Linked DNA regions of Macaca mulatta. The protein of the gene in region 1 interacts with the protein of each later gene in a pairwise test. Links are inferred from orthologs where the notes say so. Each region holds a gene or a part of one and is shown in the gene's direction. Other genes may lie near its edges.

Region 1 (5,759 bases):
AAGAGCAAGCTGGATGCTGAAGTGTCCAAATGGGATGACAGTGGCAATGACATCATTGTGCTGGCCAAGCAGATGTGCATGATTATGATGGAGATGACTGACTTCACCCGGTGAGCAGCACCCTGGCCCCACCAGGCTGCACAGGGGCCACTTTCTTTAGGTCACCTGCACAGCGGCTTAGACAGCCCAGGCCATGGGGCTTTGTGGACATCTGTTTTCTACTCATCTCCAACTGTGAGGGGCTTCGCATACAATGATCCTTGTTCTCTCTTCTCAGAGGTAAAGGACCACTCAAAAATACATCAGATGTCATCAGTGCTGCCAAGAAAATTGCTGAGGCAGGATCCAGGATGGACAGGCTTGGCCGCACCATCGCAAATCACGTAAGTGACAGACCTGCCAGGTGGGTCTCCAAGCTCCTTCTGGGACTCAGGCAGCCCAGCCTGGTCCATTCAGGGTAAGTTTCATGGGCCACAGCACTTTTGCCACCCATCTCTAAAAATGGTTCTTATTAATCCCAGCATAGATTCGTAAGGATTCTCTAGAGCAGATGTGGATGTCCTGGAATCTTCCGTCACTTGTAGCCAAATTAACCTCTGCTGTTGTCTATTATGTCTCAGTTCCCTCTCTGGGCAGGGGCTGAGGGCAGCCAGAAGCCATGTGGCCAGTGCTGTGGAAGGATGGTGTGCCCAGATGGGGCCAGGTTTCTTCATCCTCAGCACTGTGGCTCTTAGTCACCCTGCCGTCATCCCCCTATTCCCTCACACTGTGATAGGTACAAAAATATGGTTCATATCACCTGGAAATGTACAATATGTTTGATTTGGTGTTTTAAGCCTGATCAAGAGAGGCTCTTTCTCAGTTATAGTTTTTCTCTGTAGTTAACAAACCTCCCCACCATCTTCCCTGAAATATCAAAACTCTCAGCCTCATCTAGGCCACAGGATGTGTGAGACGTCCCTCTTTACTCAAGCCAAAGATTGTAAAGGCATCCTTGACTCCCACACAATCGGTAATAGGGCCTATTGCTTCCATTAGCCAAATGTATCTCAACACAAACCAGTCTTGTCCTGTCTGCAGAGCTCCATAGCCACTTGGACTACTGCGGCTACTCCTGATTTCCTATTCTTTCCTCTCTCCACTTCCTTCTGCATCCAGCTGCCAATACTGTCATCTGAAAATGCAAATCACATGGCTGCCCTGCTTCCATGACTACTTAGAATACAGCTCATCTCCAGTATGGTCTGCAGGGTTTCAGTTCATACCACTCTCTGTGGTGTACTTTGCTTGCTATGAACACTTAAGAGGTGCTCTGTTTCTTCCTTTGGGTAAAGCTTTCTAGGCTGGTCCTAATCTGGGAGCCTCTAAAACCCTGAGATATGGGGGGAGACAGGAACTGGGCAGGGGCCACCCTTTTCTCTTTGACCATCCCTGACTGCTTTTTTTCTTGCTTTCTTTACTCATTTATCCTCCACCTCAGCCTGCAGTGAGTGGCTTTTGTCATCAGGCCTTAATAACGCAAAGTGCATCTGAGCAGAAGAGCTATTTGTTTACTTAGCTCAAAACATCTGGACTTTTCTCCATAGCCAGGCTCCTACTTGCTGAGCCGGCTTGTTCTCACCTTGAGGGGCACAGGCCTCCACCCTGCCATGTGGGGTGAGGGGATCCTTGGCCAGAGTGGTTTCCCTGCTGTCACAGAAGGGAAGTCAGCGGGAGGCTCAGAAGGCCTTGGCTGTACAACCAGTGCCGTGCGGCACAGCCAGGGTCCCATGAACGACTTCCATCAGATAACCTGCCTCCATCCCCAAGCAGAGTGTAGGCAAGGGCTGTGACTGCCTCAGGTAATTGGGTGATTTTGCTCCAGCAAGAGGACAGGAAGCATGTGAGTGCCACCCTGAACCTTTAAGAAACACCCATGGGGTGGGAGGTGCTTGGTCCAGGCCAGGGTGCTCGGTGCTAAGCGTGCTCTCCCTTCAGTGCCCGGACTCAGCTTGCAAGCAGGACCTGCTGGCCTACCTGCAACGCATCGCCCTCTACTGCCACCAGCTCAACATCTGCAGCAAGGTCAAGGCCGAGGTGCAGAATCTCGGCGGGGAGCTCGTTGTCTCTGGGGTAAGCATTAGCTGAGAAAAAAGAGGGCCAGTGGGAACGTGCTGACCCTTGTCAGAAATGAAAGTCACTTCCTATCCACATACACACCTGCCCTGGGAAAGTGTGCTGAGCAGAAACCCCAAGTCCTGTCCCAGCCTCCGGAGACCAAGGTCTGTCCATCATCTGTTCCCTGTAGAACTGTGACACGTGTGGGCCACTGCAAGGGCTGAAAGGCTGGCCTCCTCCCCTTTGCTGGCCACTCACTGGGAACAAATTTTTAAAAATCTTCCTTGGGACCGGGCGTGGTGGCAGGTGCTTGTAAGTCCCAGCTACTTGGGAGGCTGAGACACAAGAATTGCTTAAGCCTGGGAGACAGAGGTTGCAGTGAGCCGAGATGGCACCACTGCACTCCAGTCTGGGTGACAGGGCAAGACTCTGTCTCAAAATAAAACAAAACTTCCTTTTCTTCCCCCAGAGAGGAATTAAGAGTAGACATAGATAGGATGCTTTCTCGAAAGCCCTTCACCCCTCAGAGCGCTTGGGTAGCATCTCTTTCTTTTTATCAGGTCACAGTTCTGAGGCCTTTCTCACCTAGGGCAGGGGAAAGAGGTTTGCTGAGTGGACTGGGGTCCAGCGAGCCTCCGTGGCTTCTTTTAATCCCATTAAATTTCCTTTAAAAGAAACACTTCTTATATTGAACATATTGAGACCATTTGCTCATCTGCTTTGCCATAAACGTCCCTGTCTCGATTCCTGCTTCTCCTCCCCCACGTACTTATAGCTCTGGGATCACTCACAGTGGCTTCCGCTTTGAGTGAATAAACACTTGCTGGGGGGTGGGGGTGAGCAAAGCGAGGCTGCCTCATGTCTTCTTCAAAGGGTCTGAGGGCAGGCGCTTCCAGGCTATTTAGGTAAGAGCAACTGTTGAGGGTGTTCCTCAGCAACAGGCTGCTGCCCAATCCTCTGCCACCTGCCCAGGCCCTGGTCTTGCAGAGGAGTAGGGGGCCCCCCTTCAGGCACAGCCCACCTGTGTCCACGATGCTGGAGGTCAGGCCTGTGCTTCTCACCACCCTTGTCTGCCTTGTAGGTGGACAGCGCCATGTCCCTGATCCAGGCAGCCAAGAACTTGATGAATGCTGTGGTGCAGACAGTGAAAGCATCCTACGTCGCCTCTACCAAATACCAAAAGTCGCAGGGTATGGCTTCCCTCAACCTTCCTGCTGTGTCATGGAAGATGAAGGCACCAGAGAAAAAGCCCTTGGTGAAGAGAGAGAAACAGGATGAGACGCAGACCAAGATTAAACGGGCATCTCAGAAGAAGCATGTGAACCCGGTGCAGGCCCTCAGCGAGTTCAAAGCCATGGACAGTATCTAAGTCTGCCCAGGCCAGCTGCCCCCACCCCTCAGGGCTCCTGAAGATCAGTCACTGTTTGTCACTCAAATGAATTTGCTAAATACTACACTGATGTCAGATTCCACAGGGAAATGGGCAGACTGTGAACCAGTCCAGGTGGTGAATTTTCCAAGAACATAGTTTAAGTTGATTAAAAATGCTTTTAGAATGCAGGAGCCTACTTCTAGCTGTATTTTTTTATATGCTTAAATAAAAGTAAAAATTCCATAACCAAAGAGAATCCCACATTAGCTTGTTAGTAATGCTTTGAGCAAGCCGAGATGCCCATTCTCTTAGTGAGGGCGGCATTAGGGTTTAAGAGAAGGGAATTTGGCTCAACCTCAGTTGAGAGGGTGCAGTCCAGACAGCTTGACTGCTTTTAAATGACCAAAGATGACCTGTGGTAAGCAACCTGGGCATCTCAGGAAGCAGTCCCTGGAGAAGGAATGTTCTCAGAAAGGTCTTTAGAGGAACAAACTCAGTAAAACGTAATGTTTCATGAAGAAAACTGATTACTCTCTTTATGACATGAAATGAGAATTTAAATGCATGGTTACAATTACTAATGTACGCTGCTGCAGGTCATTAATAAAGTTGCTTTTTTTAGGCTACAGTGTCGTAATCAGAACACACTTTTCTCTTTCTTCCAGCTTCAAATGCAAATTCATCACTGGGCTCACTTCTAATAATTGCAGTGTTTCCCACCTTGGGCTTGCAGCAGAAAAACCTGACAAAATAGTGTGTGCTAAGGCAGTAATTTAGACTTTACCTTATTTGTGATTACTATAGTGATTACTGTAACTACAAGGCATAACTTACCATCTTATATAAATTTTACAAATTTTGAATGTTTTTTACACTAACTTTTCCCAATAAAGTCCACTATGAAACCACAACATCCAAGAGGCCAAAGTCGTCATCTCTTCCTTCAAGTGCTCACAGCATCTGTGGTGCTCTGGGCCCTCCCGGTGTCCCTCTCTTCCAGGATGGGGATGCCCGGAAGGGAGGCTGTGGCTCTAGGCTGCACGGCTCATGCCAGCCCATCAGGGAGGGCCATGCCCCTTGTCCTATTGAGTGCCCCACCCTGCACCCCCACCTTGGGAGTTGACATGTCCATTCCTTGAGGTTCATGTCAACCTCGGAGGCATCCCGTCTTCATTATGAATGTCCCCTCTCCTGTGTCCTTCCTGTCAGCACACACACACCTATGATGATAGCGGCCTTCGAGATGAAAACCCCTGAACCCCATGATCCTTTCTCACTTCCAACCGGCTGTCGCCTTGCTCCCTCCACCTCCCCTCGTCAGGGCGACTGCCTTCCACTGCCAGTGACACTGGCAATGGTCTTCAGACCTCATCATGCAAGCTGCCTGGGGGCGTGGCGGGGAGGAGGAGGAGGACAAGGACTCCTGAATGCTGCTAACTCGGCTTCCAGGACACCCCACTCAGGTTCTGCCTGCCTTACTGGGGGCTCCTTTCCTGGGGCTGAGAGGTTGTGTCTGTGCCCACCCTCCTGAGCTCAGGCAGAATCTCACATGTAAAGACATACAAATGCCGACTTCTCCCCAGAGCCTGCCTTTTATAACTGACTGCCGCCTCATGCTCCATTCGGATGTCTAATGAATCTCAGACTTGACCTGTCCAAACTGCTTGCCACCTACTCCCCACCGCCCATCCCCATACCCTCCATACCGGTTTCCCCACGTCACTGCCCTTTCCCTCTTCCCTCTTGCCAAATGCCTAAAAATCAAAATTCTTAGGTGGGTCTATAGTGCAATGGGCTTCTAGTGACAAGAAATCAAAATTCTGACCTTTAAAACGTATGGATAATTTACCTGTCATCGCCTGGCCTAAGCCATCCTGCTGTTACTGCTGTGTAGCAAGTTGCAGCTAAAGCGACCTCGCATGGCTCCTGAAGGTCAAGAATCTGGGAGCAGCTCAGCTGGATGGTTCTGACTTGGGGTCTCATGAAGTGGCCAAGATGCCAGCTAAGGCTGCCGTCTCTGAGGGCTTGACGTGGCGAGGATTTGCTTCCAGGCTCACTTGCGTGGCTATTGACAGAAGGCCTCAGTTCCACGCCGCACGGCGCGTTCCACAGGCAGCTCACAGCTTGGTGGTAGCTGGCTTCCCCAGAGCAGTGATCTGCGAGTGGCGGCCAGATGGAAGCCACGGTGTTCCCTTAAAACCTAATATGGAGAGTGATTCCCCATCACGTCTGTATTCTGCAGGACACACAGACCAAGGCTGGTCCACTGTGGAAGGAAAGGACGAGGTTG
Region 2 (6,018 bases), on another chromosome or scaffold:
CAGCACTTGTGTAGGGTTCTATGCTCAGTTTAATCTTAGTATTTAAGCTGTGGTTCTAATATTTTGGTGAGAATTTGGCATTTTCAATTAATTACTCATGAATTGTTTGGTTTTTGTTTGTATTTTTTGCTTGCTTTTTGTCTTTAAAACTGAGCATTTGCCTCTGTCAGTAAGGTAATGTTCTCAAGTAAATGGTTTCAGAAAAACAATGTGGTAACAAGCCTCAAGATAATAACAACTACAAATATTTTAGCCCTCTACAATATAAGTAAAATAATTTTACCTATTTGTTTATAACTTGTGGTAGAAGCCAACATGGGATGTTTTAATTTTTTCCCCCATCTTGCTAAAGGAATGTAATCAAAAAGGAAATTCATTAATTTAAATTTCTGAAGCGCTTAATGTTCAGCGCCTGCCTAGGGAATACAAATTAATTATATTCTTATTCAAAGGCAGCTTACAATTGTTGTTCATTAGAACCAAATTATTGACTTGTTCCCAAAGCCACTGCTGTTAACCTCTGAATAGTTCATTTATGATGGATAGCTGTGTTACAAGTTAAATGCCTCTTCTGTGATACTTCTGCTGCATTCAGAGTTAGAATATTCCAACTTCACTTCATTTAAACTTAGATAACGTGTTAATCTTATGTTTCATTTTGAACATTTTTCCCTTTTTATTATGGAAAATTCTGACGTATAAAGAATACAACATGTGCCCAGCACCTAGCCTCAAAATGTGTCCATCATTAGGTTATTTATTTTTAAAACTATTTGGTAGGTTTTTGTTTTGTTTTTTTAATAGCTGGCTTCCCATCTGTATTTGTCAGTTAGTTTTCTTTGACAGTTAAATTGACTGAACCTCCGAAAAGCGAATTGTCAAAATCTTCACTCTCAAGATAAGTGATATTATTTGGTTTTCGATTTTTTTATAAAATCTTAAAAAGTTAAATAATTTTTCATGTAAAGCTTTAAACTCCAAGCAAAAACTTACTTTCTGCTGTCTTATTCCAGTTTAACTTACATGTGTAGAGCTGGAGCAATTCGGACAGATGATAACTGTATTGTATTAAAGGTAAGCTAATTAATTATCTTTAAAATGTGAAAATTATCCAGTTATGTGTTAAATATCAGTATTGATATTCATATTTCATTTTACACATTTATCATTATAGTACGTGTGCATGGCATAGAATAATATTAAAAGACCATGCTTTCTTTTCATTGGATGTCATATAGTTTTTAAAAATTGATTTTAGATGTGTTTTGAAAGTCAACGTGAAATAATTCTTTCATTGTCACAGCCTTTTCATTTTATGGTAATTAGGAGGATGTGGAAATTGTAAAAGTGTACAATTCAGGTGGAATAGAAAATATATTTTGTTCTTGATTGTCATTAAATTTGTATTACAGTTTTAGAGGCAGTTTGCTATTTTTGCAGAAAAAGACTTTATATCATTCTTGTAGCTGATAATCAAAAGGCATAATGAAAGACAATAAGTAGATAACACATGAAAACAAGCATTGTCATTGTGATATGTCATATACAACTTGAATTTAGAAAAACCTAGAGAAAAGACCAGCCCTAAAAGTCCTAAAACCTGGGATTCTGGTTTTAGCACTTCCACCTCTGACTGGACATCCTTTATTCTTTTGATGCCTCGGACTCCAGATTATGAAAATTGAAGCATTAATTCCTGCTCATCTATGCCACAGGGTTACTGTGAGGATAACAATATATTAAATACATTAAAATGTCTTATTAGCTATAAAAAATTAAGTATAAATAAATTGATCATGTGTCATTTGATAAATATGAGATCTCACATTATGATGTGAGAGGTGATCCCAAGGATAAAAGAGCACAAAGAAAACTAATATTTGCTTTAGTCTTTGAGGAAGACAATTAATTTAATGAGATCTGAACACTCCCTAAGTAAACAACTCTGCATAGAGTGCCACGGCCTTCCATAGCAATTATCTTGATTTATTTACTTCTCTAACCTTCCTCTTTTTCTGCATTGGTAAAATGTTAGTAGTATATTCTTCATGTAGTAGTCATGAGCATTAAATTAAATAATTCATGAATTTATGGTATCAATAAATATTAGTAACTAGTAATGTTAGGGAAAAAAGTAACTAGTAATGTTAGGGTTGAATTGTAAAGCTTCTTCTAGCCTAATAGGAAATTAGTAGTGAACGATAAAGTGCCAAGCTCTGTGGTAAAAGATTTAATAGAAACTTATATATAAAAGAGCAAAGCACAGTTGCCTGCAATATTTGAGGAAGACTTTCTATAATAATAACATTTCAATTTCTACTTCCACATTGTCCTTTCAAGTGGATCCATCAGGCTTAGAAATAGTAAATGTCATTTGAGACCAGCCTGGTCAATCTGGTGAATCCCTGTCTCTACTAAAAATACAAAAATTAGCCGGGCGTGGTGGTGAGCACCTGTAATCCCAGCTACTCAGAAGGCTGAGGAAGGAGAATTGCTTGAATCCAGGAGGCAGAGGTTGCAGTGAGCCGAGATCGCGCCGTTGCACTCCAGCCTGGGTGACAGAGTGAGACTCCGTCTCAAAAAAAAAAAAAAAAAGAAAAAGAAATAGTAAATGTCTGGAATATTTTTGTTGAGAACCTAATGTAGGTAAGTTACCAAAACCATTGCCAAGATTTTTGAGGGACCTCAGAAGTAAAATTGGACTCGTGGATACCACTACTAATTCCAGCAAGTTCTTGGGAGAAAACCTAGCAACTGTGAATGATACGCTTCACTCACATTATAGTAGAACTGGTGGAATCTGAGTAATGGTAAGATCACTGCAGGTTTTTTTTTTTTTTTTTGAGACAGTCTCGCTTAGTCGCCCAGGCTGGAGTGCAGTGGCGCGATCACGGCTCACTGCAAGCTCCGCCTCCCGGGTTCACGCCATTCTCCTGCTTCAGCCTCCCGAGTAGCTGGGACTACAGGCGCCCGCCGCCTCGCCCGGCTAATTTTTTGCATTTTTAGTAGAGACGGGGTTTCACAGTGTTAGCCAGGATGGTCTCGATCTCCTGACCTTGTGATCCGCCCGCCTCGGCCTCCCAAAGTGCTGGGATTACAGGCGTGAGCCACCGCGCCCGGCAGATCACTGCAGTTTTAAAGCTGTATTTTGTTTTGGCAACTGTAGGTATGACTCCCCAAACCAAAAAATAAACCATATTACTCACTAATGAAGAGATAGCATACTTTTCCTAAGGCAAAATCATTCCTGATTAAACTGCTGGGTCTCTTTTAGGTAAATAAATAGATGGATGGGGCAGAACCATTAGACATGATTTGTTAGAGATTCTTAAATGTCTTTTACAAAGTTGTACAATAGAACTTGTCTTACCGGTCCCAAAAGCCTAATTAGAATTTGTTTTAATATACTTTGATGTGTGAGTAGAGTTTATTGTGCCAGTACAAATGATTAATCTGTACTGAATTTTGCTTGTTTTTGCATTTAAAAAAAATCTTTTATGCTCTGGAAGTCAGTAAAGGAAATATTTGATCACAAACATTACTCCTGATAAAAGCTATTGAGTTGATTCAGTCACTATATGCTTAAGCTTTTACCTTTACCAAAAAGCAAATAATTAATCTCACTACCTTTCAGACATTACCTTGTTTGGTTCGAATGTGCAGTAAGGAGAGATTACTAGAGGAGAGAGTTGAAGGAGCTGAGACACTTGCCTATCTGATTGAACCAGATGTTGAGCTACAGAGAATCGCTAGCATAACTGATCACCTCATTGCCATGCTTGCTGATTATTTCAAGTATCCCAGCTCAGTGAGTGCCATCACTGATATTAAAAGGGTATGTTATTTTCCTTTTTTAGCAGCTCAATGGAGATTTTTTAGTTTTTCTTATTGTTCACAGTTTTGAACCAATTGATAACTACAGCTCAAAGCCCTTTTAAATAAAGGATCTTTTATCTTTGTTAACATAGATAATATTGCTTTGTAAGTTTTTGAATCCAAGTTGTTTAATATTTATTGTCAGGAAGTTTTTACTGAGCAGATAAGCAGTAAAGAAAATTGCATCCTGACTCCTAACTAAACCTCAAAAATAGTGGATTCTCCAAGCTGGGTATTGATATAACTGTATAGTCTTATGCTTGGTCATGGAATCATCTCTGTTTTTATATTCTCATTCTTTAGGTCAGGAGTAATCTTTTTGTTACAGGAGACTAAGTTGTCCCATGTTACTTTCCATCACAGTCTTTCTGTTTTGTTACCTTTCCTTATCTTCTCTTTTTTCCAGTTTCATACTGTGCTTTGGACCTGCTAGTGATAGCTAAAGCATCATTTAGTCTCGAATTTGGGACCAAAAAGGCCAAATTGTGCTTTTTCTGAAAAATCTAAGTTCCTTAGAATACATAGATATTTATTTTGACTTGTTGCATCTCGGCCTATTTGCCTTATCCATTTCTTTAAGCGTAGGCCATGAACATTCTGTAAGAGAAAGTTTATTCAAGGAGGCCATGGTAGAGAGAATATTGCCTCTTAATTAGTAACCAGTACTGTTTCATGAATGTAACTGTATTTTTCATGCCAGTGGTTCCAATGGTAGCTATTCTTTTGACCTCTCCCTCATGCTTTTGAATTTCAAAAAACCCCATCTGGTAGGCAGTTGTTCATTTGGCATTTAACGTTGAAAATAAAGCAGACTATTAAGGGTATATCTTTACTCTCTTAAGAGCCTAAAATAACCTTCATTGGTATTTGCATTAGTAATGTACTCTACCCTCTGGGTATTAAACTTATGTGTCTGCTCTTCTTTCACTAGTGGTGTTTTTCCAGTAGAAGTGATTGGTTACATACATTTAACCAGTTGCCTTGTCTGTTTTCCTTCTGGTCGTTTTTTCACACTGACACTATATCTCACCAATATAAAGATACATGAGCAACCCTTAACTACTGCCTCATGAACACCCTGAGTTGACCACCCAGGAAGGCAAAAAAATGTCTTGATGGCCATGAGAGTAAGGAAACATAATTTTGAGAACATGTAGCCTATGCATATGCAAATCATTTAACTAGTACGTAGATCATCCCTTCTATTAGTTTTTCCATTTCATTTCCATCAGTAAAACTGTAACAACAATAATCCTTAAAAATGACTTCCTAATACCAAACTTAAGTAATAGTTTGTTTTGTCATCTTTATTTTTGATGATGGATTATCCAAAGGTTTCTGACCCCAAAAGTATAGACACTAGACCCATAAAGAGAAATCTTCACATGTTAATAAATTTGTGATTTTCATGATATATTAGTTCAAGTCAGTATTATATCTCAATTTATGACTAGAACGTAGTTAAGACTTTTAGATAATGTTAGAACTTATCAAAGTGAGTATTCTGTATTGGGAAGTTGTTCCTATAATCCATCAGTGTCTGCTTTGAACAAAAGTTTTGGAGCTATTAAGAATTGCTTTCAGAGCCACCCCAAATTATATATATATGTAAAATATATATATATAGTCTTTTGCATTTTGTGGAATTTTTTGTTACCTATGTTATATTACCCAACTGAATTTCTCCATCTTCACGCACAGTCAGTGACAACTAAAATTCTCCTCACTGATCAAGCTATACCACTGTCAGTGTTTTCTAGCTAATAATACCAGTTAGCTCTTTAGGAATTTTCAGAAGAGGATCTCAGAATGTTATGAACAACACCTACATCATCGGATGAGTGAACCTTTCCAAAGTAACTTCTTTGGGGAAAGTGGTATTCATTTGGATGATTACATTAAGGCTTTTAGTTATGAGATTATTTATATTATTGGTAGACTTTGTATAGTTACTTGGTCATAGTCGGTCATCGAAAGTATCCTGAAAATATGCTTCTGTTTTATTTTTACAGTAGTTTGGTGATCAAGTTTATAGAAGAGTTGATAATTAGTTATGCATGTTTAAAGATAGCATTATTTACTTCATGCTGATAATTTTGATGATGCTCTTGAAAAAACCCATACCCAACATAAGTCTCAGAT

Evidence for each region.
Region 2: the proteins of CTNNA1 (region 1) and ARMC8 interact in a two-hybrid assay, tested with the Homo sapiens proteins (2 studies listed by BioGRID and IntAct). The link is inferred for Macaca mulatta from reciprocal best matches to the Homo sapiens genes CTNNA1 and ARMC8.

What each region holds. Positions count from the first base shown.
Region 1 is NC_133411.1:147,797,058-147,802,816, forward strand, and holds the end of CTNNA1 (catenin alpha-1), read left to right. Parts: coding exon 1-110; intron 111-277; coding exon 278-383; intron 384-1,977; coding exon 1,978-2,112; intron 2,113-3,118; exon of another isoform or gene 3,119-3,178; coding exon 3,179-3,466; 3' UTR 3,467-4,388; downstream 4,389-5,759. UniProt on the Homo sapiens protein: Associates with the cytoplasmic domain of a variety of cadherins. The association of catenins to cadherins produces a complex which is linked to the actin filament network, and which seems to be of primary importance for cadherins cell-adhesion properties.
Region 2 is NC_133407.1:41,236,778-41,242,795, forward strand, and holds part of ARMC8 (armadillo repeat-containing protein 8), read left to right. Parts: intron 1-1,013; coding exon 1,014-1,074; intron 1,075-3,634; coding exon 3,635-3,835; intron 3,836-6,018. UniProt on the Homo sapiens protein: Component of the CTLH E3 ubiquitin-protein ligase complex that selectively accepts ubiquitin from UBE2H and mediates ubiquitination and subsequent proteasomal degradation of the transcription factor HBP1.